Linked DNA regions of Oryctolagus cuniculus. The protein of the gene in region 3 binds, or shares a complex with, the protein of the main gene of each other region. Links are inferred from orthologs where the notes say so. Each region holds a gene or a part of one and is shown on either strand. Other genes may lie near its edges.

Region 1 (5,250 bases), on a different chromosome or scaffold from region 3:
CTTCCGATCCAGCTCTCTACTGTGGCCTGGGAAGGCAGTAGAAGTTGGCCCAAGTGCTTGGGCCCCTGCACCCATATGGGAGACCTGGAGGAAGCTCCTGGTTGGCTTCGGGTCGGCCAATTGGAGAGTTGACCAGCGGATGGAAGACCTCTCTCTCTCTCTTTGCCTCTCTGTAACTATTTCTCAAATATATAAAATCTTTAAAGAAAAATTAGAAAACGGTTTAATTGTGAAGTTATTTCACCACTGAAATAAATACCACAGCTCACGCTAGACCAGTTTTTCTTCAAGTATGTTGAGTAGAATCAAATAGCAGCTCCCCAGACATGACTTCCATGGTAAAATACAAGATTCTGGGTACAACAAGTTTCTTTAATGCAAAATCATTAAGAGGGTGGGGGAGTGGCACATGGCACAGCACTGAGTTTTAAAACTTAACTAACCAAATGTCATGGGACCCATTCCACTTTGAGAAACACTATTCTAGCCACTTATAAAAGATGCAGAATAAAACCAATTTCAACTAATTTCCTATCACTTAAACTGTTGAAATCTTAACTTGGTACTCATTGTTGATTTCATTAAAATTATTTGAAAAGTAGGAGAGAGGATTACAATAATAAACCTTTAGAAGAAGCAACTGTTGCTTCATAATTTAGGCAGCCTTTAGAAATAAGTTCAAACACTAAAGCGACTCCTGAGATAATTCAACGGGGAAGGGATTCTTATAAGTTTATAACCTTACATATTTATAAATCTAGTTAAAGGTTTTCCTAAGGTATCTAGCATTAGGGACAATTTAGGTCTTCAAAAATACTTGGACAGAAATCATACTCCCTATAAACCTCCCCAAACCTCAAATTAAAAAATAGTGCCAAGCAATACTGGTACAGCCTTAAACAAACATAGCCTCTGACAAGAGTTTAAGTATAAACACTATTCCATGCTACTAAGTGCTTTTAAAAGAGAAGGAGTTTTTTGGATAACCACAGCAAAATGATTTTTATTAGTTTTTTAAAGATATGTGTTCCTGAATATTAACTGTATTCCTCTTGAAAATTCTAAAGCAAATTAACTGTACTTTTAATAATGTGACGTTAAAATGAAACCCACTAATTGTATGTGCATTTTTTAAACTTCAAAAATTAACTGCATTAAAAAAATAACTTGGAGCCGGTACTGTGGCATGGTGGGTTTAGGGTGCCTGCAATGTGAGCATCCCATATGGTAGTGCAGTTTGAGTCCCTACTGCTCCTCTTCCAATCCATCTCCCTACAAATGCTCCTGGGAAGGCAACTGAAGACAAACCAAGTAACTGGGCCCCTGCCAGCCACATGAGCGGCTAGGATGAAGTTCTGGGCTCCTGGGTTCAGCCTGGCCCAAACTTGGCTGCTGCAGCCATTTGGGGAGTGAACCAGTGGATCGAAGATTATAGTCATCTGCCTTTCAAATAAATAAGATCTTCCAAAAGACAAAACCAAAAAACTTAAGTCACCTTCATAATTCAAAAACAGCTTACAGAGGTTATAATTTCATTTAAATTACGAAGACCCCTATTTATCCAGAAGTTAGTTCTTTGCAAGGCCAGCAATTCAGAGCAATCAATGTCTACCTGAAAGTCTAGATCATTATCTTGGTTACTGACAGACTCTTTCATAATTTCATGAGACTTTTCCCACCGTAACATCCTCACAAAATGCGGTCACCAGTATTAGCCAACCTAACTCAGAAGATTATGTCTATTAATACCTTCAAAAGCATTTTCTGTCTCCCAAGAACCACAACTTTAATTACCAGTTCTCAAATTTGTTTGGTACTACCAGCTAAAAAAATAAGTTAAACTCTATTTATACATTTAAAAGTATATGCTTACAAAATAAAATCTCTGGGAAAGAAAATGTCTACTTTCTCATTTAAAAAGTCAATCATGATTCTACGGTTCTAACAAACAAAACTTTTCAATTTTAGTCCTATTTATCTTTAAGAAAGAGTTCAAAGGGCTAAAGATCATTTCATTTGTATAAATTTCCCAAGAGGAGAGCCATGACATTTGCAACATAAACACGACTTTTGAACATTTCCCAAAGCATTTAAGAGTAGATAACACATTATCACCTGGATTCATAAATCTTTTGCATACATACACTGTACAAAGAAGTCTTAAGATCTTGCTCTTGTAGTTGGGAAGATCAGCTTCCAAAACACCAGCCAGACCTTCTAGGTTGCTCTCCAAAGAGCAGGCACTCTGTAGGGGCAACATAACAGCTGTCAAGTATTCAGTAATCTGAATACCAATGAAGTTTTCTATATGGTCAAGTTAAGATTTCATATGCATAAGGCACTATGACAGGTTTAGCATGAAGTGAATCAGGTATTATTCTTAAAAATCCATGAAAACAAAAAAAAAATAAATAAAATAAAAAAATAAGCAGCCTGCTATGGCTTGGAAACAGTTTCTTCCCCCGAGGTGCACTGCTCAAAGCTTGGTCATAAGGTAGCGCTAATGGCAGGTCATTAGGTCACAGGGGCTCCATCCTCAGGACTGGATTAGCGCAGGCGGGTACTGTGGCATGGGCTGGCTCTCACAGGAATAGGTTAGTATAAAAGAGCAAGCAGGCCTCTCCCCAGCTCTAGCTTCTCCACTCAACACTCACGTCCCTTCTGCACACAGACATCCCCCTTCCCACTTCTCCAGCACGTTGTGATACAGCCAGGGGGGCATGGAGGAATGCCAGGGTCACGCTGCTTGGACAAGCCAGCCACCACTACACAGAACCAGACAAATCTTCCCTTTCCAAGTCCTCAGCCTCGGCATTTACAGCAATACAAAACGGACAAAGACACAGTGAAGACGGCAAAGTATCAAAAATAGAAGGCCACCATGCGCTGTTGCATCTCTCTTAATGCACCTTCTGACCCTGAACAAACTACCTGACACATCGGGGTGTGGCTCAGTTCATTTATAATTGAGAGCACCACTGTCTAGGCCCCTTCTAAGACTTCTCTAACAATTACCACTAAAAACTCTCAATTATCTGCATCCCAGGGGCTTCAACCTGCATCAACTTTGGAACAGAAGCATGGTCACACAAATTAACCATTTGGTACGTACCTTTTCTCCTACTTTGCATATTAAAGACTCCAAATGATCTTCAGTTTCATTTGCATCAGTCTTTCTCCTTTTGTGAGGCTGTCCACCTATTTCAGTAACAAAAAAATTAACATCTCATGATGAATCTGCTATCATAAATTTATTTATAGATTATAATCTTTTCTGTGGGACTGTTTTTCACTTAGAGCAGAAGAACATCTTAACTGATACTCCATTTCTCAGACTAGGCTGGATCAACCTACAGTCTCCATTCTCAGGGTCACTACATACAGTAACTCTAAGAGGCGCTATGTATGGTAAATTTTTTGTGAATAGTGCTCATGGAGCTATGCAATCTAGCTGTCCTGACTGGTCCTGTGGGCACAACTGGTTCAACAGATCACACAGCACCACTGTTCAGATTACCCCACACAACAGGAACTATTACCAACATACATACAAAGCCCCAAGCACTGTTGCTAATAACTGCTAGGAAAATGTATCATTTGCTCATATTCATGTAAATGATTCCTTGCTTGAATGGCTATTAACTGAATAATTATTGATACTAATTCACTCAAAAACCATCCTAGGATAGGTGGTTAGCCTTGGCTCAGCCCCATCAATTGCAGGCATCTGGAGGGCTAGCCAACAGATGGAAGCATTCTCTTTTTCCCCCTTATCTTTCCCCTGTTTTTCAAGTTATTTAAAAAACAAATCCAAGATTACTTTTAAAAATCTACCACTCTGAAACCATTATCAATCACCTTGACTGCTAAAGAATTCAAGTTGAGCCGGCGCTGAGGCTCACTAGGCTAATCCTCCACCTAGCGGCGCCAGCACACCAGGTTCCAGTCCCGGTCGGGGCGCCAGATTCTGTCCCAGTTGCCCCTCTTCCAGGCCAGCTCTGTTGTGGCCCGGGAGTGCAGTGGAGGATGGCCCAAGTGCTTGGGCCCTGCACCCCATGGGAGACAGGAGAAGCACCTGGCTCCACCCTTCGGATCAGCGTGGTGCACTGGCCGCAGCACGCCAGCCGTGGCGGCCATTGGAGAGTGAACCAACGGCAAAGGAAGACCTTTCTCTCTCTCTCTCTCTCTCTATATCCACTCTGCCTGTCCAAAAAAAAAAAAAAAAAGAATTCAAGTTGAAAGAAGACGTGCTACAAATCAGCCTCAAGCTCTGGACTATATATTGTTCATATTCTCACTGCTGATCATCTCTTATTTTGTTAACACATCCATCTTAAGTCCTTTTGTGGTGTAAAACAGCTTAAAATTTAAGATGATGTTATTAAGTATGGACCATGATGCTATTATTACACGATATTGGCTAATTTCCTAATATAATTCAATTTTTGGCTTCCAACAATTAAATGATTAGCACTGCATGCCTGTGGACAGAGGCAGCAGTATGCACATGTGTTGGAATCTGTACTAATAATAATGAAAATTTGCACTTGGAGATAGGACTGTGTAGTGGCAAATTATAAATAACTTTCAATCTTCTTCAGAACTAATAGCCAATCTGAGTTATTCTTTCCACAGAGTTGATGATTATTTACTCTCTCTGAACACTTGGCTTTAAATTACAGTGATCCTCACGAACACAGCACCAGGCTATTCTAAATTTGCAGAGTTCACGCCTCTCCAATGACTGAAATGATTTTCAGATACCACACAAAGTAAAGCTGAACAAAATCAATTTTTCTATCTAAAGACCAGAGAAGTATTATAAAAAAGTTACTGGCCCAATCCCTTATTTACCATTTTCATTTGACTTAGAATACAATTTTGAAGATAATGCCACAAGAAGTGCAGCGCGCATGCAGTATGACAATGAGATAAATTCCTAGTGATATCTGCAGTGGACACATGTGGCATGGTGGGACAGTGACCTTGATTTTTAAGTTGCAGAAGCTATTAAAGTTCTACCATTCTTCCATACAAAGGTTTTTTTATTTCCAGAACTCATTCATTCACTGGGAAAAACCCTCACATCTGATGCAATGTTTATATAAGCAATCAGCCAGGACACTAAAATAGTTTTCCTCAGGGCTAGCACTGTGGCATAGCAGATAAAGCTGCCACCTGCAGTGCAGGCATCCCATGTGGGTGCCAGTTCGAGTCCCAGCTGTTCCACTTCCAATCCAGCTCCCTGCT
Region 2 (5,740 bases), on a different chromosome or scaffold from region 3:
TCACCACTTTTACTGAAGAGTTCATAAATTTGTTCTTCAGTTGTGTAAAAGGAAAGATTTCCAACATATAATGTACAGCTTTTCTTCAGTAATTTTTCTTGTTCTTCATTGTCACCCTAGAATTTCAAATAGAGACAGAGTTAAACAATACAACTTACTTAAAGAGAGCCTTGCTTAAATAGTATCTCCAAGTACAATAAAACATTAGTTCTGATTTGGAAATAAAATTCCCTTATCATTCCAATCCACCACAAAAACTTGCCAATAAGAGGGGGAATTCAAATTCTGTAAAGCACTTAAGCAAGGTCCAGGAGGGGAGGGTTAGGCTCACAATAATGACACTGTGCATGCCACCTTTCCATTCCTGCATTAGACTGCCAGACAAGCAGTGTGCCTTTTTCTTTCACACTCCATATACTCAGCATTGGATCTTTCTCTAATGGCCCAAGTTTAAATTCCAGTATAGGGGCCAGTCCTGTGGCGTAGTGGGTAAAGCTGCTGCCTGCAGTGCCAGCATCCCATATGGGTACTGGTTCGAGTCCTGGCTGCTTCACTTCCAATTCAGCTCTCTGCTGTGGCCTGGGAAAGCAGTAGAAGGTGGCTCAAGTTCTTGGGCCCCTGCACCCATGTGGGAGACCTGGATGAAGCTCCTGGCTTTGGATTGGTGCAGCTCCAGCTGTGCTTCCATCTGGGGAGTGAACCAGCGGATGGAAGACCTCTCTCTCTCTGCCTCTCTGTAACTCTTCAAGTAAATAAATAAATCTTAAAAAAAAGAAAAATCCCAGTATATAAGGAAGGGCCCTTCTCTCTGTAGAGAAAAATGGATTTTCAAAGATCAAGTTTCCCTTATAAAACTGTCAAAGCAACAATGGCTTAGATGACTTACAAGGTCAGAGTTCAGGAAAAAAGATAATGATGACTAAAAAGATCTTCTTAGTGAGGTTCCTGACTTGGAAGATAAACCAGAGACAGGAATATATAATTGGCTTTAACCAAGACACCTGACAATCCCTGGGGACAAGATGGCTCATCATGGACTAGACATGATGCCTTCACAGAAACCAGTATCTTGGGTGCTGGCATTGTGGTGTAATAGGCTGTCTCCACCTACAGTGCTGGCATCCCATAAGGGCGCTGGTTTGTATCCCAGCTGCTCCTCTTCCAATCCAGGTCTTGGCTAATGGCTTGGGAAAGCTACAGAAGACAGCCTGCGTGCTTGGGCCCCTGCACCCCCGTGGGAGACCTGGAGGAAGGATCAGCTGTGCTCCAGCTGTTGCGACTATTTGGAAAGTGAACCAGCGGATGGAAGACCTTTTTCTCTATCTCTCCCTCTCAAATAAATCTTTTTTTTTTTTTTTTAAGAAAGAAACCCATATATGGCTGTTTTGGACCTTCTAGCCTCCATACTGGGAAGGATACATGTGATTAAATATGAGGCCCATCAGCTGACTTACTCTCCCGCCGCTCTGATCTAGCTTAAGAGTCCAAGATAACCACACCAGTGGCATTCCAGCTTGTAGGGCCATGAGTAGATCCACACCAGCACGCACAGGGCACTGTTCCAGTGGCCCTCACTTCTTCAGTCACTGCTCTACATGTAGTGCTGATCAGTTCTCTTCACTCCAAGAATCACTCTGCATAAGCTGTCCCTGAATGCTCTATAGCGCATTACTTAGAACAACAGTTTTATGTGATCGCATTCAGTGGTAATTAGAGAAATAGCGAAACCATCTAAACTCACACCACAAGAAAACTGAGGGCTGGTGTTTGGCACAGCAGTTAGGACACCCACATCCTGGTCAGACTGCCTGGGCTCAAGCCCTAGCTACGCTTCTGATTCCGGCTTCCTGCTAATACTCACCCTTGGAAGCAATGGGTGAGGCCTCAAGTCACTGAGTTCCTGTCTCCCAGGCATTTGGGGAGTGAACCAATTTCTCAAATAGGAAACCAATTGGACTATGTAATAATATACACTGATTTTTAAAGAAGCAGTCTGGTTCACTCCCCAAATGCCTGCAACAGCCTCCCCCACTCCCCAGCTCGCCTAACGGAACACGAAACACTGCGACACGGTGTTCAATAGTTTCCCTAGTAATTAGGTTATGAGTGCTGCTCTGCCGCAACCTCTGGCCATCCCCGCTGTCACCGGGAAAGCCCATCTCTAAGTATCTGCAGCTGCCCCCTTTCCCCAAAGTATGTTGTAATACAGCCTAAAACCCCCCTTCTGAAATCCAGCATTCTTCCATCTAAACACGCGGGCATCCTCTAGGTGGTCGATCTGCCACCCCACTCCGAACTCTCCCCGACGTTAGAGACAGGACTCAATTTTGTGTCGCCCACCCACCAGTTAGAGCCACTAACAAAAAATTTTAAAAAGGATCCGAAGCGTCAAAGAACACTGGCCGATTATTTAAGACCGGGGGGGGGGGGGGACCGACGGGGGACGGTATGTGTGTCAGAAAGGCGCCTCCACACGCTCCAGCAATGAAAAAGTCTCTCCCCTCATCACAAGTCACTTTCCCGACGCACGGCCTGCAGGAACAGCAGCCAGCGCTGACGACGCCGCTCGAGCCCTCTGCGCCGGCCGCGCACGAGGAGCGGCTGCAAGGCAACGGGAAAGCGAATCTCAAACTCTCTCTCTCGGAAACAGAGTGGGGTCCCCTCCAACATCGCTGCCTCCCCAGCAGGCACCGGGGACCCATGGCCCGTTTCGGGGCAGCAGAAATGTGCAAGAGCAAACCGTTTCTCAGCGTCCTGGCTCAAGGGTCTGCCCGTCGCGCGGCCCGGGCTCCCTCACCCGGAAGTGCTGGTCCCGGTACTGGCTCAGCTCCACGTAGGAGTCACTGCGCAGCGCCTTCAGAAGGCCTCCCGACATAGCTCACACAGCTGCACAACGACGCGCCGACTCCCGAGAACAACCGGACTGGGGCGGCGGCGCGGCAGCAGCGGCGGCGGCGGAAACGGAAACGCGCGGACGCGGCGCACAGTGGGAGTCTCCAGACCAATCCGAGCGCGGCAGTGTCGTCATCAGACGGCGCGGAGGCGGACACAGTCCGCGGCCCAGCGCCGCCGGTCCGGGGACGAGGGAGGCGTGCTCTTGGTTCCGGGACGCTCTCACGAGGATGGTTCTTCGGCGGCTGCTGGCTGTGTTGCTGCACAGCCCGCAGCTGGTGGAGCGGCTGGCCGAGTCTCGGCCCATCCGGCGTGCGGCGCAGCTTACGGCCTTCGCGCTGCTGCAGGCCCAGCTGCGCGGCCAGGACGCGGCCCGCCGTCTGCGGGGCCTCGCGGCGGGGCCCGCCGGCTCGCTGGGTCGTCGCGCCGCGCGATTCCGAGACGCCTTCACACAGGAACTACGCCGTGGCCTCCGGGATCGCCCGGGGACACCACCGGGGAGCCAGAGGGGTCCAGGCGCAAACCCTTGAGCCCGGGCCGAGGTCGCCTACTTTCGCTTCGGGACTGTACAGTGGCTTCGGCGCTGAGGAGTCATCCCGGGAACTGGGCACAGCTTCGAAACCCTGACTCAGATTTCCGGCCTGCAGACGTCCCACTACGAAGAGCCCAGGCCGAACGGACCTCCTCGTTGAAGCCCTGTGACGGGCAGAGCTCCGTGTGGCCAAAGACCCCGAAGCCTGAGGGGCTGCCCCGGGACGCAGCCAGAAAGGGAGCCTGCCCTCTACAAATGGGACAAGAACTCGGGCTAGATATGCGGGGAAGATCATGGATGGAAACACGGCCCTGCAGCTGCCGAAATCCTCTGATTAAATGCGTGAGCTGATTAACCGGCGTGAGTGTGGTGCTTCTCAGACCAGGTGGATTGGGAGGCCTGGGCGCTGTAGGCCGGCACACACAGTGAGTGCTTATTCTGGGCTGGCGCTTGCTAATTGCTCTCAGTGTGGGTTATCACACTTAACTCTTTACAGCGCGTTCGTGGGAGGAAGTGGATATTACTTCTTACGTTGCCCAGAGCCTTACAGAGCGGAATGTGAGTACAGGCATTTGACTCCGGGGCCTAAATCCGTAATCACCACTCTCCACAGCATCTACCCTGCCCCAGTGCCTGTCTTCCTCCACCGCCGTCACCACCAGGCATTAAGACTACCGGGATTCCTGTTCACTTTTGTGGGTCTGGGATACAAACCACTGGTCCAGCTAACGGACCTACAATTAGGATGCAAATTGTGTACAGAAGTGCCCTGTCATTTCCGGCTCTTGATTGGGTGTCTGATGGGCTCTACTTAGGCTACACAATTAATCATTCCGTCTAGGAAGCGTGAAGCCTTTAAATGTAACCGGTACTGACCAAGCATCATAGATTCCAACTGTGTTCCCACGGGGCAGGTTGGAAGGACCTGAGTGACATCGCTGAGGTGGGAGAACACCTGGGCTCCCTCCTCTTCGAGAGTGAGCCTGCAGGGCAAGGTGCAGCAATGGCCGGAGGGCTTAGGAACAGGAGTAGGAGAGGGGAGAAAACTTCCAGAATAACTCGTTTGGATAATAACCGAACACAGAGACAGCAGGTACCAAGGTGCCATTAGATGCATTGCCACTCCCACTTGCATTCTTAAAGGGCTTTGTGGGAGAGATGCCTATTAAGCCAGGGGACGTGTGCTGTGGAGTCCAGGAATGACAAAATTAGCTGACACATTCTGCAGAGATTCTCTGGCCTCCTGTGTTCTGAGCCAAAGGGGCTTTGTCAAGGTCACACGGTCTGTGAGTGGCAGGTCTGGGACTAGAGGGCGCCCCTGAGTCCGAGCCTCCTGTTCTCTGTGTCACCACATTGCCCTCCTGGGATCCGACAGGCCAGATTGACTTAGGAAGCCAAAGAGCTATCTGTCATTAGTAGTTCCTGTCTTCACAACCAGGCACTATTACGTATTTAAAACATCATGGTGGCCCGAAGGACTAGGGCAGGTGCAGACAGCGGGTGCCATATTCACATCAGGATCCTTTGGAGACCTTGACACCAGGACCATGACTCATCAGGTCTTTGTTCTCCGAGAGAGAAGTGCCAGCTCACCAAGAAGGCCGCACACCCAACAGCTGTGCCTTAGAGAGGCAGCGGTGGAAATCCTGAAAGAGACCTGTGGACTAGCAGCCCAGCCCAGCTACCCATGTGGAAGGTATGGTGGCTCCTTTTATGGCCGAATCCTGGGCAGTGGCTGCTCTGCTGTGTTGTCAGGCTTCTCTCCCAGCTCCATGATGTGGAGACTGAGGTGGTCCCTCCAGGCCCCGCTCAGCAGGGAAGACAGGGCTGGTGGATCCTCCAGGGTCAAGTGGGGAAATATGAGTGTCTCATTCTTGAGGGGGAAGCTGCACTTCTCCACAGCACGCCTTGTGGTGCCAGGGGTCACCACAAAGAGGCGGCAGAGCCACGGTCCCCCGGCCCCTTGGCAGGCTGGTTGTCTGGTAAGATTGTTGAGGGCTTGGCATAGGACCCAGTCCTCAGTCCCACCCATGTCTACCACCTTCACGGGAGAGCCCAGGCTTGGGAGGTGGAGGAGGTGTTGGGGGGGCATGTAGGTGTGGGTGAAGAGGAGTGTGTAGCGGGTGGGCACGCTCGGGAGCACAGGTGCGTGGACCACTTGCTCCAGGTACTGCAGGCTGGGCACCAGGCCCCCCTGATGCAGGCAGCCAAAGAAGAGGGCACCTAGGGCATTGAAAAGGACCAGAGCCCCCTTCCAGGGCACAGGCTGTGTCCGTGGACTGCAGAGCAGGACCACAGGGACCAGGAGGGGGATCA
Region 3 (5,250 bases):
CGGGGCTCCCGGGACTGGATCGGCTGCGTAGAGGCCAGCCTGTGCCTCCAACACTTCGGTGGGCCTCAGGGGCGCCTGTGCCACGTGCCCCGTGGCGCGGGACTTGAGGGGGAGCTGGAGAGACTCTACGCGCACTTCGCAGGAGGAGGGGGCCCCGTCATGGTCGGGGGAGACGCGGATGCCCGCGCCAAGGCCTTGCTGGGAGTGTGCCTGGGGCCCGGCGCCGAAGCCCGCGTCCTGGTGCTGGACCCTCACTACTGGGGCTCTCCAGAGAGCCCCGCGGAGCTGCAGGCTGCCGGGTGGGTGGGCTGGCGAGAGGCGCCCGCGGCCTTCGACCCCCACTCCTTCTACAACCTGTGCTACACCAGCCGGAACCCCGCCCCGGACGCGCGGCGCGGCCTGGACTGAGGGCCCGGCGGCCTCCCTGCTCCCAGAGCCCGGCCCGGGAAGATCGGGAGGAAGCACGCCGAGGCGGAGTCGCGAGGAAGTGCTTTTACTGGCAGTCGGGCTGAACGTAAAAAAACCCTCAGAGCTGCAGGGGCGGGCGGGCAGCTCAGAAGAAATCCACGTCATCGGGGGCGTCCAGGTCGCGGTACTCCACGATGGCCCTTGGGTCTCCGCGCACCATCCTGGAGGAGAGACTAGATGAGGCGGGCTGGCCCCGACGGGAGTCCGGGCAGCCACACCCACTCGGCTCACCTGTTTCGGGGTTTCCCGGGGTAGCCTCCCTGGCCGCGGAAGGCGTCATAGTTCCCTCGGCCAGCACCGTATGGGGCGTGGGGGTACGGAGGGCCCCCGGTGGGGACTGCAGGGCGGACAGCACCAGCTGTGGAGAGACGCTGAGACGTCAGCCTGCCCTCCACGCTCCCGACCACCGGGCCGCGCCGCCCGCCGGCACTTGCCCTCCGGCACTTACCGCCATAGCCCAGGATGGGGGGCCGGGGCTGACCATAGGGCAGCAGGCCCTGGGGGGTCTGGTGCGGGTAGGGCAGTCCCGGCGTCAGGCCTGGGGGGAGTACAACACGGACAGGAACATGAATTACTGCGGGGGGGGGGTGTCTCAGGGGATGAAGGTTAAGGAGAACCAAGGCCCTGGACAGCTGGGAGGACCCCCGCGGCAGACCCTCACGGATCGTATCTTACTCTGGGCGGGGCCGGGCGGCTGAGCGGGCTTGATCTCGGGCAGAGCGGGGCGCTTGGCGTCGGTGAGGAAGTTGTTGAAGAACGCCACCTCCTTCTTGACCTCCTCGATCTTCTCCGCGTGCTTGTTGAAGATGTGTTTGCGCACAAACTCGGGGCCCTGGGGAGGAGGTCGGGACACGGTAGTGGGGGTTCCCTCAGTCCCAGACCCACCCGGAGGAACAGCCCCCCTCCAGCCTGGCTGCTGGCCAGGTCCCCGCGGCAGCCCGCCCCAGCCCGCAGGGGGCGCTCTGTCTGCCCGCCCCCCCCCCCTCCACCGGCCAGCGCGCCAGCTCCCCAAACCCCAGACCTTGAACTTCTTGCCACTCAGAGGACACAGCCACTTATCCTTGCCCAGCTCCTGGGTGTTGGACGTGACGAACTTCTCCACTTCTTGCTCGGGGTCCTTGCGGCCCATCTTCTGGGCCTCCTCCTCGGACAGAGACTCGCGCACGCTCAGCAGCGGGGTCAGCTTCTCCTCGAACGTCTTCTGCCACTCCAGCACTGGGCCAGGGACAGGAGCACAGGCTGGGAAGGGCGCCAGGCGCCAGGACGGGGGGGGGTGGGTGGGGGGGACTCGCAGGGGCTCACCTTCCCCGTGACTGATGCGGTTGGGTGGCATGGGCCCCCGCACGTGGATGATGCCACAGCGGTTGGGCATCTCGTCCTCATTGGGGTACTCGCAAGTGTTGTAATAATCCAGGGAGTGCACGATGCGCAAGTAGAGGAGCAGCTTGTCCAAAACCTAAGGGAAGAGAGGTCGTCGGCTCCCCACGCCCGCCCGGGGCCCCCGGGCCGCGCCCTCCGTGCCCCACGCCCACTGCGGCTGGCTGGCACCTTGATCAGCTTCTCATCGCGCTCCACGCTGATCTCCGCCGGGTTCCCTTCCTTAGGGGGCTCCTCCGGAGGGGGCCCCCCGCTGCTCCCCAGCAGCTCCTCTTCCTCTGCACTCACTTCCTCAATCAGGTAGTCGGTGATGTTCTTCAAGATGGGGTTTTGGGAGGGCAGGCTCTGGCGGGGAGGGGGGAGGGGCAGGTGAGCCTGGGGCGGCCCTGGGGTGGCCAGGCTCACCGGCTCCAGCTGCCACCCTTGTCCTCAACCTGCACTACAATCAGCCTGCTCTACAGGAAGCTGGGGGGCGGGGCGGGGGCTGCTACCCAGACAGTGGGGGCCGGGGTCCAAGGGCCAGTCCTACAGAGCAGCCCTCAGCAGCTGACTTTCGAGAGAGCCCCACGGGGTGTCACTGACTGCGGGCACAGGGGCCGTCCCAGGCTCCGCGGCCCAGAGCTGGGTCCTGTCGTCCAGCGTGTGGATCAGCTTGGCGGCCAGCTTGATGTCGTTGCGCACTATCTGCTTGTGCTGTGTGATGCCGTTGATGTTGCGGACACGCCGGGTCAGGTCTCTGTTCACGCCAGGGCTCAGCTCGCACTCCCGGAGCTGCAAGGACACACGGGCCCTGCTGAGCGCCAGTGCCGAGACGGCCCGCTTAGGCGGGTCAGACTCGCCCATGGCAACAGCCCCAGAGCCCAGCGGAACGCACAGACGAGCAGGAAGCCGCGGAGGGGCACAGAGAGGCACTCCCCGCCCCCCGCCCCTCCCCAGCAGTGCCACCTGCTGGCACTCACTCGGATATTCTGCAGGTTCCAACAGATCTCCTTGATGTTAACGCTGCGGTCAAATGTCACCCAGCCACGGCGGAAAAACCTACCCAGGAGGAAACCATCAGCACAGTACTGGGGTGGAGGCGGCGCTGGCCCCGAGGCCGCCCCAGCGTGTCCCCTCTCTCACCTCCGCTCAGGCTGGGGCTCCGACAGGGCCACACGCATAAAGCCGGGGTATCTTTTACAAAGCTGCGAGAAGCAGAGCGACAGAGACCCCTTGGGTGACTGGCGGACTCCTTTCCTCCTCCACCCCCCTGTCCTCTGTGCCCCCTCCCAGAGGGCGTCAGGCTGCACGTGAGGGCCTGGGACGCCCCGCGCCATCGGCCCCTCCCCCCCACTCACAGAGATGATCTCGGCCCGGGAGATGTTGGGGGCGATGTTGCGCATGAAGAGGGAGCAGGTCTTGTGCAGGGGCCGCGGCTTGCACTCCAGCCCTGCGGCCTCCTTCGGCTTCTCCCGCTCCTCCTCCTTCGGCTTCTCCTTGTCCTTAAGGGCTTCTTCTATGCAGGAAGGCAAAGGCTCGTGGGCGCTCATAGCGGAGGACGGAGCCGTTCCTGCCCACCCACCCACCCCCCCCCGGCCTGCTGCACCCTCCCGTGGACTCCACCACCTCGCCCCTCCCCAGTGGGCGGCAGAGGGGACCGGAAGCGGAAGACGAAGCCTACCCGCCTCCTCCTTCTCCTCGTCGGCCTGGCCGCTCTCGGACTCCGACTCCGACTCGGACGCACTGCCTTCGTCCAGGCTGTCATCCCCGCTGTGCTTGCGGCTCCGCTTCTTGCTCTGTGGGAGCCACGGCCCGGGGCGCGTCAGGGGCCGGGCCTCGCCCTGCGCGCTGCCCCCCCCCCCCCCCCCGCCACAGCCAGCACCCGCCTCACCTTCTTGGCGTCCTTCTCCAAGTCTTCTTTCTTCTCGTCCTTGTCTCCGTCACCCTCAGGTTTCTGCGCTTTGTCATCATTGGAGCTGTCATTTTCCGCCTAGGGAAGAGACGAGGCTGTCCATGTCCCCTCCACAGTGGAGCCACAGGGTCACCGCCCCCGCCCCCGGGAGGCACGCCACTCGCACCTGCTTGCCGTCCTCCTTCCTGTCGTCCTTGTCCCCGGCCTTGCGCTCTCCGTCCCCGGGGCCCGGCGCGGCCCGGCCCTCTTCCTTCTTGCCGGCCTCCCCGGCCTTTGCCGCCTGCTCCTCCTCCTCCTCCTGCTCCAGGATGCGCAGGTCGTTCTCTGTGCCGCCTTCCATTTTTATCACAGCTACCAACAAAGCAGAGGTCACAGCCCATAGCCCAAAGGCCCCGGCTTCCGCTTCCCACCCGAGACGCTGCCCACCAGACAACCCCCGCCGAACCACACACCTGCGTCTAGCATCTTGACGATGGCGTCAGCCTTGTCGATGTCCAGGAGGAGGTGATCGAACCAGCCACTCTCCATGAGGGACAGGAACACCCTCAGCCTGTTCTGCAGGGCCCCCCGGGCCTCCTGCCGACGCTTCCCCACCTCGTCTGGGTGGTACTTAGAGCGAAACCTGGGGGCGGGGCAGGAGGGCGGTGACAGTCAGCAGAGGCCACGGCCTGGATGTGGGGAGGGGCCCAGGCCAGCCAGGGCATAGCCCCCATCCTCTCATACCCAGCAATGTCATCACCCCAGGGGAACCGGGGCTGTGCTCTGCAGACTGGGGAGGCAGGAACCGAGAGCTCTGGACTGGCAGACAGTGGCTACGGGGCGCCCAGGGCTGCACCGGCAGAATTATCGCGCTGTCTCCGGGAAACACTAACTTAACGTTTAGGGTCGTTTCCCAAAGCTACGGACAGGAAGACTACGGCAACAGCAGGCCCCGAGGAACCTCCCTCTCCTTGCCAACCCCACACTACTGTGGTTCAAAGAGCTGCACCCACCAACTCCCTCCACCCCTAGGTGGAAGACAGAAGGAAACCTCAAGTGCACCAGATAGGAAAAGCCAAAAGGCAGGACAGCTCTCTCCCCCTGGGGAAGATAAGCAAGATGGAGAAGGGACAGGGCAGACCAGCGGGGGAGACTGGTGCGCCCTCAGAGCCACAGGTGCTGCCCACGGGAGAGAGAGGAGGGCCGGAGCACGAGAAATAAAACATTCCCAACAGGACGGGGGACCAGAGAGAGCAGGAGTGGGAAGGAGGAAGAAAGTGTCAGAGATAGGAAACAAAGGCAACGGAAGACAGACAAACGGGGGACAGAAGAGAAGTGAGTGTTAGGCAGGCAGCGAGAACAGGGACAGAGAGGATGAAAGGAAGTGAGAGACTGAGACAAGGACACAGGCGGCCGGGCAGTCAGAGAAAGGGACAGCGGACAGAACAGAAGCACGAGGCCGTGGGAGGAGAGAAAGCCGCAGGCGTCGCCTCCACGATCTTTACCTTGGCTGCTTGGTCAAACAGAGCTCAAGA

The links.
Region 1: the proteins of SRRT (region 3) and NCBP1 are in contact, whole or in part, in a cryo-EM structure (PDB 8PMP), measured with the Homo sapiens proteins. The link is inferred for Oryctolagus cuniculus from reciprocal best matches to the Homo sapiens genes SRRT and NCBP1. Residues at the interface, in NP_056992.4 of Homo sapiens: Asp857, Pro858, Arg859, Val862, Glu863, Tyr864, Arg865, Asp866, Leu867, Asp868, Ala869, Asp872, Asp874, Phe875, Phe876; in NP_002477.1 of Homo sapiens: Tyr461, Gln463, Lys511, Lys557, Ser558, Ser560, His561, Ser564, Ala567, Lys568, His570, Lys607, Ile609, Arg610, Thr611, Gln612, Met648, His651, Glu705.
Region 2: the proteins of SRRT (region 3) and NCBP2 are in contact, whole or in part, in a cryo-EM structure (PDB 8PMP), measured with the Homo sapiens proteins. The link is inferred for Oryctolagus cuniculus from reciprocal best matches to the Homo sapiens genes SRRT and NCBP2. Residues at the interface, in NP_056992.4 of Homo sapiens: Asp857, Arg859, Ala860, Ile861, Val862, Glu863, Tyr864, Arg865, Ala869, Asp874; in NP_031388.2 of Homo sapiens: Ser48, Phe49, Tyr50, Thr51, Thr52, Glu53, Gln55, Lys67, Met71, Leu73, Met76, Lys77, Lys78, Thr79, Ala80, Tyr89, Asp107, Glu121.

Annotation. Positions count from the first base shown.
Region 1 is NC_091432.1:201,437,499-201,442,748, reverse strand, and holds part of NCBP1 (nuclear cap-binding protein subunit 1), read right to left. Parts: intron 3,199-5,250; coding exon 3,113-3,198; intron 2,246-3,112; coding exon 2,145-2,245; exon of another isoform or gene 2,139-2,144; coding exon of another isoform or gene 2,116-2,138; intron 1-2,115. UniProt on the Homo sapiens protein: Component of the cap-binding complex (CBC), which binds cotranscriptionally to the 5'-cap of pre-mRNAs and is involved in various processes such as pre-mRNA splicing, translation regulation, nonsense-mediated mRNA decay, RNA-mediated gene silencing (RNAi) by microRNAs (miRNAs) and mRNA export.
Region 2 is NC_091435.1:83,418,181-83,423,920, forward strand, and holds the start of NCBP2 (nuclear cap-binding protein subunit 2), read right to left. Parts: upstream 3,002-5,740; 5' UTR 2,876-3,001; coding exon 2,798-2,875; intron 780-2,797; exon of another isoform or gene 117-779; coding exon 1-116. Other genes in the region: protein NCBP2AS2, read left to right, coding at 3,123-3,422; PIGZ (GPI mannosyltransferase 4), read right to left, coding at 5,136-5,740. UniProt on the Homo sapiens protein: Component of the cap-binding complex (CBC), which binds co-transcriptionally to the 5' cap of pre-mRNAs and is involved in various processes such as pre-mRNA splicing, translation regulation, nonsense-mediated mRNA decay, RNA-mediated gene silencing (RNAi) by microRNAs (miRNAs) and mRNA export.
Region 3 is NC_091450.1:43,020,403-43,025,652, reverse strand, and holds the end of SRRT (serrate RNA effector molecule homolog), read right to left. Parts: exon of another isoform or gene 4,359-5,250; coding exon 4,189-4,358; exon of another isoform or gene 4,088-4,188; coding exon 3,903-4,087; exon of another isoform or gene 3,815-3,902; coding exon 3,716-3,814; exon of another isoform or gene 3,621-3,715; coding exon 3,506-3,620; exon of another isoform or gene 3,341-3,505; coding exon 3,183-3,340; exon of another isoform or gene 3,030-3,182; coding exon 2,968-3,029; exon of another isoform or gene 2,884-2,967; coding exon 2,805-2,883; exon of another isoform or gene 2,617-2,804; coding exon 2,428-2,616; exon of another isoform or gene 2,191-2,427; coding exon 2,017-2,190; exon of another isoform or gene 1,925-2,016; coding exon 1,771-1,924; exon of another isoform or gene 1,684-1,770; coding exon 1,490-1,683; exon of another isoform or gene 1,301-1,489; coding exon 1,144-1,300; exon of another isoform or gene 1,019-1,143; coding exon 917-1,018; exon of another isoform or gene 827-916; coding exon 700-826; exon of another isoform or gene 642-699; coding exon 554-641; 3' UTR 478-553; downstream 1-477. Other genes in the region: UFSP1 (ufm1-specific protease 1), read left to right, coding at 1-408. UniProt on the Homo sapiens protein: Acts as a mediator between the cap-binding complex (CBC) and the primary microRNAs (miRNAs) processing machinery during cell proliferation.